Kluyveromyces lactis: one gene and its partner. The protein of the gene in region 1 purifies or fractionates together with the protein of each later gene. This does not show direct contact. Links are inferred from orthologs where the notes say so. Each region holds a gene or a part of one and is shown on either strand. Other genes may lie near its edges. The genes, in order: SUM1 and RFM1.

The links.
Region 2: the proteins of SUM1 (region 1) and RFM1 purify together in Saccharomyces cerevisiae (affinity purification with mass spectrometry; 3 studies listed by BioGRID, with this or other methods). This does not show direct contact. The link is inferred for Kluyveromyces lactis from reciprocal best matches to the Saccharomyces cerevisiae genes SUM1 and RFM1.

What each region holds. Positions count from the first base shown.
Region 1 is NC_006039.1:1,282,918-1,292,596, forward strand, and holds SUM1 (Sum1p), read left to right. Parts: upstream 1-1,233; coding exon 1,234-4,089; downstream 4,090-9,679. Other genes in the region: 2-dehydropantoate 2-reductase PAN5, read left to right, coding at 1-501; RNA-binding RNA processing protein RPP1, read left to right, coding at 4,531-5,388; KLLA0_C14740g (uncharacterized protein), read left to right, coding at 5,909-6,469; GIC2 (Gic2p), read left to right, coding at 6,941-8,047; VMA22 (Vma22p), read right to left, coding at 8,367-8,879; SRB7 (Srb7p), read left to right, coding at 9,100-9,531. UniProt on the Saccharomyces cerevisiae protein: DNA-binding protein that specifically binds the regulatory region of middle sporulation genes (MSE). Required for the repression of middle sporulation genes during vegetative growth. Represses expression via the recruitment of histone deacetylase HST1.
Region 2 is NC_006039.1:609,002-617,326, reverse strand, and holds RFM1 (Rfm1p), read right to left. Parts: upstream 6,728-8,325; coding exon 5,759-6,727; downstream 1-5,758. Other genes in the region: ESC1 (Esc1p), read left to right, coding at 1-4,105; ERG8 (phosphomevalonate kinase), read left to right, coding at 4,348-5,685; FMP42 (Fmp42p), read right to left, coding at 7,137-8,325. UniProt on the Saccharomyces cerevisiae protein: Tethering factor required for histone deacetylase HST1-mediated repression. Probably involved in targeting HST1 to a subset of SUM1-regulated genes.

The DNA of each region.
Region 1 (9,679 bases):
GTCATCCATATGACGTACCAGGAACTTTTGTTGGGACAATTAGAGAAGTTCCTAGTCAATTGCTGTATCAACTCTGTCACTTCAATTATAGACTGCATGAATGGAGAATTAGCCAATTGTTCAGAACCAATCTTCACTTCGATCATCGAAGAGGCTCTTCATGTATTCCAAATCGCATATAAACCGTTATTCGATTATCCAGAGACCTTCAGAAATACTGAAAGTGGGAATCTACCAGAACTAGACGTCACTGGCAGATTGAATTTAGAAAGAACACTGAAAAATACCATTTATATGGGATGTATAGTGAATGGAAGTAACTCATCTTCAATGAGACAGGACGTCCTACATTTAAGAGAAACAGAAATTGATTTTATTAACGGCTACATCGTGACGTTGTGCAAAAAATTCTCACTACCAGAATCTGACGCTAAAGTCAACAAAACCATACAGCAACTTGTGAAATTGAGATTGAAATTGAACACGTCGAGAAATATATAGACATTAAGAAAATGTGTATCATATATATCATATAGTGTAAAAATAAACCTTCATGAGCTGATCACTTTCCCTTTCTTGCGCTCTCAGTATTTTGACATCTTTATTTGACAATAAATTCTTTTTCTTTTTTACATTTATTACCCCGGACAGTTACCATTTGGAGTGTAAATTTCAATTGAAAAACCCACTTTAACAGCAGCAAAATAAGGTACGACATTATTTTGCGACTTTCACTTGCAATATATTAGGTTTATATACCTGAACATGTATGTTTATATATTTAAGATTATCCAAAAATTGCCGCAAAGATCATCCATATCTCGAGAATCTCGTAAACGATACAAAAGTCCGCTCATCATATTGATAACCATTGCTCGCACATCAAAAGAAATCAAATTCAACTTTAACACATTCAGTATTCCGCCATCTTTTCCTTACAGTAATTTTTTTTTTTGGCAGCATTTTCTGAGTTTTTTTTCTACTTGATTATTATTGATTGTTTTTTTCCATTTGCACTAAGGTGAAAACGACGAAAATTGGAAAAGTGAAAGAAAAAAAAAAGCGAAATTGAAATTCAATAAATAGTTAAACATCGTTATTGTCGAGAAACAGAACGACAGTGGTGCTTTACAGGGTACTAGTGACTATTTAACGGGTGTAGATCGGATTGAATCTGTTGTTATAGGTTTTGAGTCAGAACAGACGAAACCTGCTTGCTGAATCAGAGACAGTATGGATTCTGATACTGCGATGACAGGCCATGACGATAATAATGGTGAAATTGGAATTGGTGAGAATGGTGTTTCCAGACAAGAGAAGGATAGTTCTGTAGTAGATAAAAAGGACAAGAATGGTATTTCTAGTGTGCAAGCGGGTTTAGAAAGTCAACGAGGTACAATTCGAGAGCTTGAGAAAAAAGTTTCTGAAATTGAGTCTATTTTACCTGAAACTGACGAAATAATTCAAAAGAGTATTGAGTCAGTTGTGGTGACTTTGAAGAACTTATCGCATAACCAGCAAGTTTTGGAAACGAAATTCGAGGACCTTTTAAAGAACCAGGTGAATTCAGATGCGGCCATAAACGATCTATCCGTGGAGATCATCAAGATCAACAGGTTGTTATCCGATAGGTTAACGATGTCCGCGACATCAGGTGCATCGTCAGGGACGATGGGAACTGCTGCGTATGGATCACCCGCATATATGTCATCTGCAAGCGTCTCTCCTCCTCATAGGGGACCTGGTAGACCACCTAAGAAGAACACTTCGATATTGTCCAATGGCGATAAAAAGGCGAAATTGCCATTCCCAAGCGATCATATATCAAAATCAAAACGTCTTTTCCTGGACCCAAGTAAAGAAAAGACGGAGTCCAACTCAGGTTATGATGCAGATGGGGTTGGCAACAGTCGATCTCGTAGTTCTGCTAACGTCAAGCAAGAGACTCCTCAGGAACCAAAGAAACGTAGAGGTAGACCTTCAAAGAAAAGCACATGGGAAGCTCAACTCACTTCTTCACAAAGAAAGACAAATGCTGCAGATAATGATACCAAGGAAAGGCAAAGCTCTAGCTCTAGACGCAAATCTCAAAGATTGAAAAGTGGTTCGCGCCAATATGATGAACAATCGGATCTTTCATCATCGTTTTCCGGTATGTCTGATAATGAAGGGCAAGATGATGAGGGCGATGTCACAGACGATCAGAAACAGTTGGCTAATGATATGCATGACTCTCGTTCCAGAAAACAGAAGGAGCTCGAAATGAAAAGAGATGAAAGAGAAAGGATGCTAGTCACCATGAAATATAGCGATCGTAACGTTACCAGGAATTTCATGGAACTCAACAAAGATCTTTTCATGGCCATGAAACAAGAAGAACGGAAGAAAAGAATGACAGCGGTGCCTTTCAGCGTTCCAGTACCGTTGGGTAAATATCAACTTTCAAGTAAACATTTGGAAGAGTTATCAAAAGTACCTTTCTCCCTGTCGCAAACAGCGGAGAATTCTTCTGGTGCTCAATCACCTTCGTCTAATCCTCCAGACTCTGCTCGCTCTGTGACACCACAAACAATTATATCAGCATATAACAATTTGGAACAACCAGGCAATGTAGGCTCAGTTTCTACGGCAAGTGCGGATGATGTTAACGGTCAAAAATCGTCGTTACTGAATTCTGAGCACAAGGATCTGAACGGCTCTGTGAAAAGAACATCTTCGGACATCGGTGATCGATCTCAAATGTCCAACGAAGCAGAGGGACCACGTAAGGTCAGAATCTTGTCTATCTTGAATGATGATGCATCTACTGGTGTAAAAACAGAAGAGAATGGCTCGGCTAGACCTCATCTGTTAGACATGCCAAATTCGACTCCTCAAGGATCTGCAGACGCATTACCAAGTTCTCAATTATCTGTTGATTCGACAGAAAACTCGCAGGATAACTTTTCCGTCACCACTTTACAATCTGGTGGTGAATCACCAAATAAGAAAAGGCATCTAACATTGCATGATCGTCGAAAGATGAGCAGGATGATTCCGATGTTACCAGAAAAGAAAGATAAAAGGGGAAGACCAAGCTCTAACAATCAATCCCAAGAAAATGCAGCGTCTTTGTTAATGTCATCCCCTGTGGAACTTTACTGCCGTGAAGGTTTTTTTTATAGAAAAGGTTCTACAATTCCAATCACAGCGGGAGAGTATTTGGATTTGAAGTTCAGACACAAAGAAGACGAATTGATTAAATTAACAATGCATGAAGAAGATTACGCCGAGTTAACAAGACAGGATAGAATCAACGCGTATTTCCTTAAACCAGACGTTGAGATTGAAACCTCAATGGCTTGTCAAGTTTTGTCCAATGTCATATTAACCGAGAGATACGTCAATTCATTAGAATATTTCCTGATGGAATTCCGTTGGGAGAATAGATTGGTAAGTTTAGGTCTAAAGCTAAGAGAATCTAAGAGAACTTGGCAAAGACGGAAAGCCTTATTTGCATTATTTGAGTTTTGGAGAGACAAGTCGAAAGATAAGAGAGGTTTCCACAATTATACATTGTTGCATGCAATCAAAGAAATGGAAAATTACAGAGTCTTCATCAATAGGTCGGTTTCATGGTTTTACAACCACATTACCCTTTTAAAAATGATTCTTTTTGATTTATGTGATAATACGAATACTCATTGGAGAGAATGGATGTTCGCCAGAGGCACTGAACTACCGCTTGTTGGTAAAAATGGCGTCGATGTCATGAATATTAATAGAGAAATCGATAATATTTTGGTTCTTGATTTCCTAGAAGATGGTAGCAAAAATTCAAACAAGAAATCAAGTTCTATTCCATACAAAGAAAACAGTGAAGGCCCTCTAGAACAGCCTTATGTTACGAATGATGTTCCCGCAGACAAGGGAACAAAGGAATTACACACTGAGCATGTCCAACAACAGTCAGAAACCCCAGTTCCGGAACTGGCTGGAAATAGAACTGAAGAAAATACAAACCATGCTACTGGGGCGGTAGCTGTAAATCAAGATCAGCACTTACCTTCTTTACCGAAAGATTCAGAAGATGTGAACTCTACGCAATGATATTTATGCACATAGATCATAATGGTTCCTTTTTGGGCGCTGTTTTTCATCAAACCTATTTTAACGGACATTTTATCACTTTATGGAACAAATAGTAAGGTATGTACTCTATAAATAAACTGACAATTATTCTATTTAGATAATATTGTTCTCATACTCAAAAACATTGTGACATGGCCGATTGGATGAAGTTTAAAGTTGTATTTTTCAACAGTTGGGCTTTCAAGTAAGGATTGTACTTCATAGTATGTTATAATATCTTCAAGTATAATTTTTTCGGAAAAGACATTACAATAATCTACCAAAAAAAAAATCTAGTAAATAATGAAACATGAGCATGAGATGAGGTATGCTGGACACTCAAATGGAAACAAAAGTTTCTGTTGAATCACTTGTAAATACTCCTTCCAAATTTGCAAAGCAAAATAGCTATTTGAAAGGATGTTAGTTGATTTAAACGTTCCTTGGCCACAGAAGGATTTTGCAACACCGCCTTCCACGAAGGAGATTAAAACGCTGCACAAGACTCTAGCGACATTGCATACACTAGGGTACACTCACATAGCTTTAAATTTCACAGTAAACCAACAGGATAAATTCCCAAAATCAATCAATGATATGAATCCTATCGATCTATCGCATTTTGATGAACTAGTGAAATCTACGGGATTAAAGCTATATACAAGAATCACAATTATTATAGATGACCTTTCAAAAGGCCAGCCGTTGACAAAGATATCGCAAGCTTTCGATATTGTGGCAGCCCTTCCAGTCAGTGAAAAGGCTGTTACTCTCGTAACGTCTAGCTTGGATGTTGATGTGCTATCATTTTACTACGACAAAAGGCTTCCTACACTTTTGAAACATCACATGATGGGGGGTTGCATTAAGAGAGGAGTCAAAGTAGAAATTGTTTATGCTAACGCTCTTCGAGATATCAGAACACGTAGGCAGTTCGTATCTAACGTGAAGAGTGTGATCAGAACTTGCAGGAACAGAGGAATCGTGGTCAGTAGTGGAGCAACCAGCCCACTAGAATGTCGTAATGTCATTGGAGTTACAAGCATTTTGAACTTTATTGGGCTTCCGAATGACAAATCTCGTAAATCCATGGGCGAGCTTGCTAGTTTGGTACTTCTAAATGGTAGATTAAGAAATAAGAGCTATAAGCAAGTCATTTGTATTGGTAACGAAGATGTAGTCAATGAAGATTTTACACAGAATTCATCGTTCAAAATAGTCAAAAGGAAAAACCCAGATACACTGGAAAGTGATGACTCGAAAAGAACAAAAAGCTGAATTACCATGAACTTAATTTTCATACTGCACTTCTACTGTTGAATCTCTCGAAGCATTCAATAGTACCGATAATACGATATATAATAGATTTTATATTTATATAAGGAAAATAGTACAATAAGCATTAAGCAAAAGATGGATACAAGGTAAATTTAGGAAATTATGGGTAAGAGTAATGATATCGGTGATTTCAATCCACTTTGAGTTCATCTTTAACATGTCCAATTTTACGTTTAGTTTCCAAAGTCAAACTTACTATCAAGTTCTAAACCCAAAGTTATTTTTCATTCTAATATCTGTAAAAAGAGCAGGTTACTGTTACCCGCAACACATACATGGTGTAAATCCGATCAAAAGCTCAGCGGCTATTGAAAAGAGTATAAAAGTATCCAGCTTGGAGACTTTACGATTTTCTTCTTCGAATCATAAACCGCCTTACATAGAAACGGTCTATTATATAAAAAACACAGACAGTACGTAAGGCAGTAACTTGGGAAAACAAGTGCCACACAAAGTTAAAATGGGCGAGGTGAAGAGTTACTTACGAAAATGGAGACGCTCTTCCATTCTTAAAAGAAGCAGTTTGAAGGATAAACGGAAAGAAAATTGGGAACAACGTATAGAGAAGTCCTTGAGCGAATGCGATGACATTAAAAACTTATTGGCTGGTCGTCCAACGACACCTGATATTGCAAGAACGAATAATAGTACATTCCTTTCCAAGCGCTCTAGGGCTTTTGTTACAGAACCGTTATCGAACCAAGAATTGGATAAAATCAAATATATGAATTTTGCAATGGAGAGAGATTATAGAGCAGGTACTAGGCCAGTGATACCGAGAATGGATTCAACCAACAGACGAAAATTGAGCGTAAATCTCACCCCGACATCGATTTCAGCAGATGACTCCGAGAATAATGCGATAGTGAAAGACTTTTCTGAGTTCATTGAAATTTCTTTCAATAGTTTGAGCATTTCCGATGAATACACACCCCAACCAAGCTTTTCCAAAGAGTCCGAGGAACCTAGAACCGCCAGTTCTAAGAGTCTAGAAAGTCTATGGAGTAAAAATGTGAAATAGTCGTAATTGGTAACCATGTTGGGTCAACTAATGACTTATCTAACCCACGAAAAAAAGCCGTAGAAACTTGAGAAAAAATAACGGCCGCCAAAAGAAAAAAAGAAGACATGAAACCCAAGAAAAAAGAAAAAACCGGATTGGCGATGGTGAATTAGAGAGGTTAGAAAACATTAATTTTCGATCAACGAAACGTATCTGCATTCCTGAAGAGGGTGCGAAAATGAAAAATCGTGTTTTTACCTAATATAGGAATTCCTAAATTAACTGAATCCAGTAGTAGTTAACCATAGATGCGAAAAATGTCAGAAAATTGTGAAACCTAGGAATGCATGAAACATTACCACTGTGGACGCGGCCGATATATGTATATATAAACGGATAAACATGATCCAGGGTACAAAGGCCATGATTTGAATCATCAGAAACCAGGCATTGCCGAATAAAACAACCAACAGATCTGGGCCAATACTTATGATGAACGTACCTCAGATCAAGTCGATCTGGCTCGATGAAGACGATGAAACAGAAAAATTATATGGTTTACAAGCTCACCAGCTTCTGGATTCTGACGATGATGATGAATTGGGCGTTGTAATGATCAATAGTGATAAACCTGTCTTAAGTAATAGGAAAAACATTAATCTTCCTCCATTGCCGCCAAATGCGTATGATAAACAATCTGGAAAGAAATCTTTCAAGAAGAAGAAGAACAGCCTCTTAAAACTGTTTCAAAATAAATCAAGTAAAGAAGAACCTCCTAAGTTAAAAATTTCTGTCCCATTTGGATTTAATCACATCTCACATGCAGATTCTAAGGCAGGATTTGAAATGCCTACTGCAGATTCACCACCACCATCTAACAGTCACTTACAGGATATACCGGAAAATACCAAATTTCCGACAAACTCAACAATCAATTCCCCAACGCAAATGACTAAAGCTTTCGTAACAGATGCAATTCCATATGCTAAACACCATCTGGTTTCTAGAGGGTCATCTACAAAACGTTCTTCGGTTGGATCCAGTACGTACTCGAACCAAAGAGTGACATCAACTTCAACAATGGCTACCTCCTTGCTAAACGATTCGCATATGCGTTCCATTTCAAAATTAACTACCCTAGAGAAGACACATTTGAAGCATAAATATTCTCAATCAGATGCCAGTGAAGTAGATGTCGATTTCCTAAAAAACTATCAGTTCCCAACTTTGCTAGAAGAACAATCAATCCTCCAGGTATCAACACCTGAAACGGGAGACAAGAAAATAGACAAATTCCAATGGGAAACACCAGTAAATTCTGCGGATCTTTTAGAGACTATGCTTTTGGATGACTTGAAATCAGTACCAAAAAAATCAATTACACCAAAGCACTCATTGAAAAGAAACTCTGATCCAATTCTGACACCAATTTTAAGGCCATCAGAATACTTAGACTCTCCAAGAACCAGAAGGTCAGTTGATGATGTTTTATTATGCTATCTACAGCCTAGTGATGCTGGATCGTCATTGGATGAAAGCTCTAGTGAGTTTTCCTACGCTAGAAATTCAAACATTTACTATAAATCTATTCTATGATCTTCACCCGTGGCCAGGGCCATTCCATTCACTTTCACAATTGTTCTCAAGAAAATATACCCATCTTTCACTCGTTATTGCATTTACTGAAATCAGCTCTCTTTTTGATACAGATTAACCCTTCGTCGTTCATTTATTAATAATTAATCCCCAATCTGCATGTGTACAGATATACACTCATTGTACGTCTTTCAATTGGCGCCATCCAACGTTATTTTCGTTTCCAGTAAACTGTTCTTTCCAAATTAGCAATTGTACAGATAGTTTTCTTTTGTATTAACTCTGATATAAGATCATTCCCATAGCAATTATAAAGTTCTTAAGCTGAATTTGACAGAGTCCCTAGTGCGTCAAGTAGACCATTAAGAGTACGTCGAAGTTCTAGTAGTTGATAAAGTACCGGCATCGAAGCTTTGAAAGATAATTGACATTGTTTCAAAGAGCTTGGGATTGAAAGGGCACCTCCGAACATATATATAGGATCCTTCTTCACCTTTGCCAATAGTTTTTCTCTTTGTTTTCTCTTCTTTAAATTCTCATTGGTTGCTTCATCTTTCTCAGGAATGATTTCTTCGTCATTGGCAATATGCAACGGCTCTTCAGTCTCCGAAACAGAGTGCTTGTCATTAATGGAGATATACCTGTTTCCTGTATAAGTTTCGTCCCAGTAATCCTTACCATATGATCCTCGAAGTGTGTTCTTATTGTGATAATTCGCTCTGCTCAACTGATGGTAACCTTCTTCAAAACTAGCTTGCAACTGCTCTAATAGAGAATCATAGGTTGCAAGATTCTTAACAATGAGTTGATATATGTCATCCTCCGTCATCATTGGTTTCCTAGCGTCTATTAATATCCAAATCGTGGCAGTTTCTTCTCATATTACGTATATTATTCAGTCATAAACGTTTTAAACCAAACTTTTGAAGTTGTCTGAAATATTTGTAACTTAATCATAGTCAATGATTTATATAAACGAATTCGAAGGTGAAAGAAAGTTAGCAATATTGCGACAAACCAGCTCCAGTAGAGGCAAGGAAGAGTGTACAAAAATGACCGATAGATTAACCCAGTTACAAATATGTTTGGACCAAATGATGGAACAATTTTGCGGTGCAGTAAATTATGTCGATAAGAACCATGGTTTTGAACCAAGTAACGATTCAGAAGAGCAGATGTCAGATCCTCAGGCCCACATTGTTGAGGAAAAGGAATTTGAAAAGAACATAGATGAATTGACAACAGACATCATACTTAAAACAAGGCAGATAATGGCTCTAATAGATTCTCTACCCGGAGTAGACGTATCTGCACAAGAGCAACTACATAGGATAGATTCACTACAGAAACAATTGATCAAAATGGAGAAGGAAAAGATAGACGCGATAAAAAGGAAGGACGCTTTGCAAGAAAAAGTAAGAACACTTACCCAAGACTTTACGATTGGCATTAATGAATCGAAGACAGAAGCACGCTTAGTATAAGAAAGGAATCATTTTGAAATCTTCGGTAGAAATTGGGTCACATGTTAACGTCAAATTGCGAGTAAGAATACTTTTACATAGTGTCTAATGTATCAAGTGGTATATAGTAGATATTTAGCTTCTTTTCCTTTTCTTCTTCTCCGAAACG
Region 2 (8,325 bases), about 670 kb from region 1:
GCTATCTCATGATACCAATGCTACCGTCTCAATGGTTGAGTCGCTCATAGAAAAAGGTAAGAAATTATTAAAATCAGTGTCAAAAGAAGAGACATTGTTACGGAATGAGTTAGAATCCGAATTGCGTAATGAACAACTCAGATTACAATATGTTAATGAAATAATGGAAGACAACATGAAACCCATGGATCAAACCGACTCCAAGGGTGTTCGCGTATCTGATGGTATACAGATGAAAGATGAAGCAGACTCCTGTCTAGAATCTGAGGATTCTATCGTTATTTTGAGCGACAATGAGGGATCTGAGAATATTCACACAATGAATAAGAATGCTTCGGTGTCTATACTTCAGGGACAAACTTCAGAATATTCAGAAGGAGATTCAATCAACTTATCTGAAAGACGTGACTCTTCTCATTCTGAAAGTATAATAGAGCAAGCGGAACCTAGTGACGACGAGGATGATGATCTCTTCAATGAATATAGCGACAATGATTTATCTGAAAATATTGCATCAACACCAAGGTTGAAACAAACGTTCATGCAAGCCTATGCTCAGAAACCTGGTAATAAGACAACTGATTCAGTTACTCCTCGTGACACTTCTATGGCTGGTGTTGAACTTGAAGATAATGACTTTCTCTCCGATAACAATTCTGAAGACAACATAGAACATGAAGAAGACGTGATGCTTTCAGATTATCAGTCCTCTGATATCAGAGAATCCAAGCCTTCCGGAATTTTCTCACATCAAACTCTCAATGATAAGGATAACCTTGAGGAATCCGAAGGTTCCCCAGAATATTATAGCACTGATGACGAAAAGCTTACCAATGATGCTCTTGCGTCAAACTACGATGAAAGTAAAACCAATGGGAAATCCGAAGAGGAACTGCCTTCTGATCAAGAATCTGATCTGATGCAGGATCAATCATCCGAAATAGAAGATTTTGATGATGGTGAAATATCTCAACAAATATCGAGCTTGTCAGACGAATTTAGTATAGCTAATCAGGCGATCGCACAACTTAACTCCCATGCGACAGACAGTGATCAATCTGTTGATGATGTTTCTGACAAAGACATATATTCTGAGGAGTCATACAATAAGGATGAAGCTGAAGAAGCATATGAAGACGAAACAGAAAAGGTCATCAATAAAGAATATCAGACAAGCTCAGAAGCTCCTGAAATCATAACAGATGAGGAAGATATTACCCAATTATCAGCAACTAACACACATGAATTGAGATCCGATGGTATCGGTGAACTGGGGGAGTATAGCTATCAATTGGATACGAATAATAATGGTTACGGTTTAATTACGGACAACGATCATTCTTTGATTTTGAAAACATTACATGAGAGGTCCGTTCCCAAAAATGTAGAATATTCCGAAAACAATGTAAATACTACTGGTTCTGGAAATTCTGAGGAACTGTCCGAAACTTCAGTACAAGATATTGACTTTGCTTCAAATGCCATAGATTTACCTCAAACAACGCTTTCTAAGACGGAAAAGGAAGTTTTCGCTGAGCCTAAAGAACCATGCATGGTAACAAAAGAAGCAACTAGTGTTGAACGACAAGAACGAAATGTTGGTCAATCTGAACCGAGATATTGTTTGACTTTTTCTGATTCGTTCTCAGAAGATGATAACCCTCAAAATAATGCCAATGCGCACCAAACAGAAGAGAATTCTGAATATCAGTCAGTATTTGCTTCAGACCCTTTCCACTTAGATTACAATGAAGACACTGATAAAACAGATTTTCTTCATGATTTATTATTAAATACTTTGGATGATCCTGCATCCGACGTAACACAAAACCCAACGTGTTCCCAGCAAGTTGAACACCCCTTTGATCATGAACTAAACGCCGAAAATATGAAAGGGACAGTTGAGGAAGCATCAGAAGATTTTCAAACCTACAATGTGAGTTCTGAAAGTCCTTCAGATGACATTTTTCATGATGCCCTTGACATTAAGCATAGCTTTCCTATTTCTAGTGATTTCTTCGCGTCTAAGAATGTCCAAGTCTCTCCGGAAAAGAAAGCTGGACATAGTAGTATGACTATCGATCATTCAATAAATGAAAATAAACCAAATATTCCGTTGTTCATCGATAAGGAAACGATTCGCTTAACTACTAGTCCCGTACGAGTTAACCAATCTGAGAAAGTTTCAGGCGATGCTTCTATCAAAAATAGTAGAAGAAGAAAACTGGAAAACAATTTGAACTCCACACTCTTCCAAAAGCCTTCTCAGCATCATAACATTCCGTTATTCAACCTGAACTCTAGTCAGACAACAACTAATAACCTGCCGAACAATTCAGACGGTACCGACTCTCACGAGAAAGCTGGATCAACGTCTCACGTAACTTATCCTAAACCATTGGAGCCCTCAAAGGCAATTTCAGATCATGATTTGTCAAATTCTAGCCGTGAACATGAGTCGGAACTACTGGCATCCGAAGCGCTTCCTGATGATAAACCTGTAATAAGAATTCCACTCCTTGTTCACCGCACGGAGGTACATGAAGCTGCATCTCCCTTCGAAGATACTGCACAAGCCAAGAGATCTACTGAATTGAGTGAGTACGTAGAATCCTTAATGGAGGATCCGACGCAAGAGGAATTAGCCGAGCCTATTGTAATGGAACCAGCTGACATGCGGGTACGCGTTCGCACCACAAGTTACATCGAAATAGAAGAAATAATAACCGAAGATATTAATAATAGTGAAATTGAAAAGATTACTACTGAACCTGAAGTTTCGTTCAGAGAATCGCCTGAACCAGTGCATCGAACTGTGGAGCTGGAAGAGTTAGCAGTTGAGCAAAAAATTAACGCTGAAACTCAAAAAATCCTCCACTTTACTGATGAAGAAAGCCTTGATCTGCAAGCAGATGAGTTATCCATTGAAGTTAATGAAAATGAATCGAAAAATGAACTGCAACAATCAAACATTCAGCTATCAATTTCCAATACAGACATTACGTTAAATATTCCTCACAATTCTGCTACTGCGTCAGATCAGATACCATACCACCCATCTGTGACTTCAGTGCCTGATATATCTGAAACTGGGCAAATGGGGTATCCGAATAACGAAAATGACCTTTTGAACTCTGGGTACCAAGGAAGCCCTTCTGTAATATCTTCGTCATCGAAGGAAAATGCATACGAACTTCATGCAGATTTTAATTCGGATGAGCCTTCCCTCGCTGTCAGCGGTGATGTAGTTGTAGCAACAAACCATGATCTCTCTGATGGGAAAGTAAACAAACCTTCATCAAGCTTGTTATACCAAAGTGAAATTTCATCCACTCAAGATTCACTGAAATCACCTTCGCCAGAACCAACACTAGGTAAAAGGATATTAGCTTCACCTTTGAAAATGCTTAATAAATTGGCAGAAGGCGTGAGGTCTATTGGAGATGCAGCGACAGAATTTGCAAGTTTAGTGGATCCGATTTTAACAGAATCAGATTCGGACTCAGCTAATTCGAATCATTCTGAGAATAACAGCGCGCCTTCTGAACCTGAACACAATCAGGACCATGAAGAAAACAAATCTGAAAATCACTCTGGGGAAGAGTCTTATGTTTCGGAGGAAGTTCACTCAGTTAAAGAATCAAATGAATTGCATGATGCCGAAGCACTACAAACACTAGAAATGATTAATAAAACAACGGACAAAATTAAACATTATGGAGGCATGGATCTACCCAAGGACACTCCGGATGAAGACGTTGATACAACTCCGACCTCAGTTATCATCGATGATACCACTGAACTTCACTTGGCTCCAAGCGACGCAAATCCTATTACGTCTCCTGGTCAAAAACTAGAAACATCTACCCGAGCAGGCTCGATTCCAATTGAAATCGAAAATGAAGAGTCAGACGCAGCTGATATTCCAGTCACTATTGAAAAAGCAGAAACACCTCAGCAGAGAACACCGGTGAAAAAAAGACCACGCGCCACAGAGAACAGCAGTCCAAAACCTTCAAAGCGTAAAAGAAGCAAGAAAAGAAAACAAGCTCGCAAAATCACTTCAGTTGCTCGAAACTTGAGATCTAAATCGAAAAAGCGATGATTGTGACAATATAACTATAACCATCACGCCTCAAAAGGCAATCTTTATGATGATATTATATAGTGCTATATTGGTATAATGTTATGTTTTCCGGGTAATAAAATTCATCACTTCAACTCACTTGGTTAAATCGTATGCAATGGTGGCCAGCGATAGAGAAGCTAACACTCACACACTGAAAGAGAAAGCATCCCAAGGATTGTAAAAACCAATTGCAAAAGCTTATATGAGATATTGAAGGCATGCGATCTTTTAGTGCTCCAGGTAAAGCCCTTCTAGCAGGCGGTTATTTAGTTTTGAAACCAGAATATGGATCTTATGTCGTGGCGCTATCGTCAAGAATGCATGCTGTTGTCAAGCAAGACGAATTAATTGGTCCATCATCGTCATCATCAATAACTGTTAAAGTCAGAAGTACTCAGTTTAATGACGACGAGTGGCAGTATAAGATGGATTCAAGCTCCAATTACAGCCCACAAGAATTGCAAGAAAACAAGAATCCCTTCATCGAAAAGGTTTTATCAACAGTCTTCAACTACTTTCAACCCGATTTAAAACTACAAGGAAACATAGTGATCGATATTTACTCGGATGCTGGCTATCATTCCCAGGCGGGAACAAAACTGAGAAGTAACGGTGTGAAATCTTTCCTTTTTCATAGTAAATCTATCACTGAAGTCCCCAAAACTGGGTTGGGGTCTTCAGCGGGATTGGTTACTGTTTTAGTCACGGCATTGGTTTCCTGCTTCAAACAAAATCTTGATGTTTCATCAAAGGATGATATGAGATTAATTCACAATTTGTCTCAAGTGGCACATTGTCAGGCACAAGGTAAAATAGGTAGTGGCTTTGATGTTGCTGCAGCAGTGTACGGAACCATCACTTACAACAGATTTGATCCCGTACTCATCGAGCAATTACCATCACCATTATCGTCAGCATACCATTTCGCTTTAGTTTCTTTGATTGATGAAACCGATTGGAAAATAAAGGCCTCTAGAGTGTCTCTCCCTCCAAGATTGAGGCTAATAATGGGTGATGTTAATAATGGATCGGAGACAACAAAACTCGTAGCAAAAGTCAATGAATGGTATAATGGTAACGGTCAAGCCGCTTTTAAAATTTATAAGGCCATAGACCAAGCGAACACAGAATTTGTCGAATCCTTGCGTGAACTTACTGCCCTATGTGACCAAAGCACTTCGGAATATGAAGCCTTGATTGAAACCATTAATGATAAAGGAAGAAAGACACACCCACTACTGCAGAAAATAGTTCATTCCGTTCATACCATTAGAGAACACTTCAGACTCATTACGGAACAATCAGGTGCCGATATTGAACCTGAAGTCCAAACACATCTTTTAAATGCTGCAATCAGTTTGCCGGGAGTGTTAACCGGAGTTGTACCAGGTGCTGGAGGATATGATGCTATTTGTTTGATTACAACAGACAGTTGCAATATAGCGAATGAAACAAAGAATGATCCTACCTTCAGAAACGTTACATGGTTAGATTTAAATCAGCAAGATTTGGGAATCATTGAGGAAAAACCTAGTACTTACCAAAATTTGAACTAACCTAAACTATTTAATAAAGTACTTAAAATTACAAGCATTTATAATTGTAAGCTAAATTTAAAATGAAAAATTTCTACATGCCTGTTCTTACTCCGGCAAGGCCACCATCGAACCTTGAAAGTATCTTCTTGATGCGAAGATTCCTGGCAAGTTCATTAATTTTTATCTGCTCAGGTTCGTGTTTAACAGGTTGGTTCTTCTCAGGTATATATCTCTGTTTCGGTGGTAAAAGCCAATCTGACCTCCTTGCCGGCTCTTGGACTTTGGTAATCAAATTCTCATATAAGTGTTGAATTACAGCAGATGAAGAATCAGGTAGAGATTCCGTGGCATTGTCGATCACCCCTTCTTTACCTTCCTGCTTCTTCCTATTCAATTGCTTCTCCCTTTCTTTCCTTGTCAACCGACTTGATCTTCTAATAGGTCCTGATTTGTTTTCCTCTATTATTGAAGCTGTTGTGATGTCCCTGTTAATTTTCCAAGGATTACTTGGTTTATAATCAGTATCACTTTCCTTCGCAGCCAGGCCAGGATCTGAGTCCGATGCGGCATGATCTCCTTCTATGGAGCTATCACTTGATGACTTGGATTCATTACGTGAGCTCGATGTATTTGTGCGTTGAGAAGACCTTTTCAACCTTCGATACGGCCCACCACTACCTCTACTACGTAATCCATCCACATTAACTTTTCCACTCGCTGATTTGCCTACTTTGAATGTTTTAATGAGGTAATATTCAGCGTATGATTCGAACTCTCTTGGCTTGATCTCCCTTTCGAGTTGTTTTAATACATCATAAACTTTCTGTCTTCTCTCTTTGATCTGGTTGATGTGCTTCCCAAAGCCGACCACCGGAGTTGACTTCGCATCTTTCCAATAGACAATTTCATTCGAAGCCTGTCCTTGATCTACAGTGTATGTACCATTAATCGGATCTACCACTGGTTCAGTGTAAGGACCGTCTTTATCCACTGAATCATCTCTGCCGTTTCCAATAGTGTTTGGTGTGAAAGGTGAAAGAACGATTGGAGAGCTTACCATCGTCCTTTCTAATATTTCTTTCGATCTTTCGGTCACAGATTCTTTACGGAAACAACTCACTAAATTGCTCTACTTTATACAGTTTTAATACTCCTTGCAAGTATATAATTCATCATTTCACTCTTCTCATTATGAATGTTTCAAAGTACTGTGTAACGTCAATTTTTTTTTTTATTTGATTGTCACTGGATGCGTTTGAAAAGAAGCACTGAACGCCCTATAACTGTGATTCAGGAGGAAGCCAAATTGAGAACATACATCCAACTGTGACCGAGGTAGTCATATTCCGATCAATATTTGCAAATAATATTTTAGGTTGAATGTGTTGTTGTAAAAGGGATTGTTTTAAAACTACTAGGTTATCTATCTCATAAACTCAGACTAGAAGTAACAAATATAAAGAAAAGTTCTATGTAGAATTGTAGGTAGCAACAGGTGACTTGAGGGCATCATCTATCAGTGTAGCTCTCCTTTTTGACTGTGTTCTAATGTAACCCAAAAGTGCCACCGAAATTACAACTGTCGTGGCCAATAAACCAACGTTCACTGGGGTAGGATTCATATCGAAGGTAGTATGTGTCAGTTTGTCCAAATAGGTTTGGAAGAAATTCAGACACCCTGACACACAAATCATTGAGCCATAGACAACTCCGAAGGTTTCAAATCCAAATATTTTAGAACAGTAGTCTGAAACAACGGTATAATAGAAGGGCCTGAATGCAACTAGCAGTAATATGCCTAGCAAATTCGGATAAAATGATGGTATTAACCCCATAATGCCAATAAATACAGAAAGTCCACACACAAGCAAAAGGACAGAGTATGTCTCTAGATTATCTAGAATTATCCCGATTATAGGAATGGATAATATACCAAGTAATGGTAGAGCTACGTCAAATATCGAGTTCATTAATGCAGCGAGTTTAGAATCACGGAGTAAATACTCTTCTTGTGATCTGACAGTTGCAACGAAATAATTTATTCTCAACATGGTGACAATCGTGAAAAGGAGCATTAAAATAAACCAATAGGATTTGATCTGCTCTAAAGCGGATTTCTCATGCAAGACACCGAAAATCCCTCTGGTTCTTTTTTCTAGTCTGGCTTCGACGTAGTTCTCCAACACAGACTTCCTTCTCGATCCATGAGAAAGAACTGGCTGAATCTGTGGACCTGTTCCGGATAACAAGGATGAACATTCATCTGCATCAGGTATCACCATGGACGCATCTTGGCCCTCTGGAAGATTACCATCTTCATCAAGTCCTTCAACTTCCAATTTGTGAACAGCACCTAGAGTTTTATATGACTCGAATGGCATGATAAACAGTTGGCACAGTACAATAAATACTGGAACTACCAAATATAGTGTAAAGAATTTTTTCAAGTTGAAATCAGGATCTACCTTCTCATAGTAGATTCGGTAGAATAAGAACAAAGCGGACGAAGAATCGAAAGCACCAGTAATAACAGCAAGAATAGAACCAGAGTATTTGGGAAAGGTATTAGCCAATTGGAATGAGGATATGAACACAAACGGTCCACCAATTGCGAGAGAAATGTAGCCTGTTAAATATGGATCCAGGAAAGAGATATGT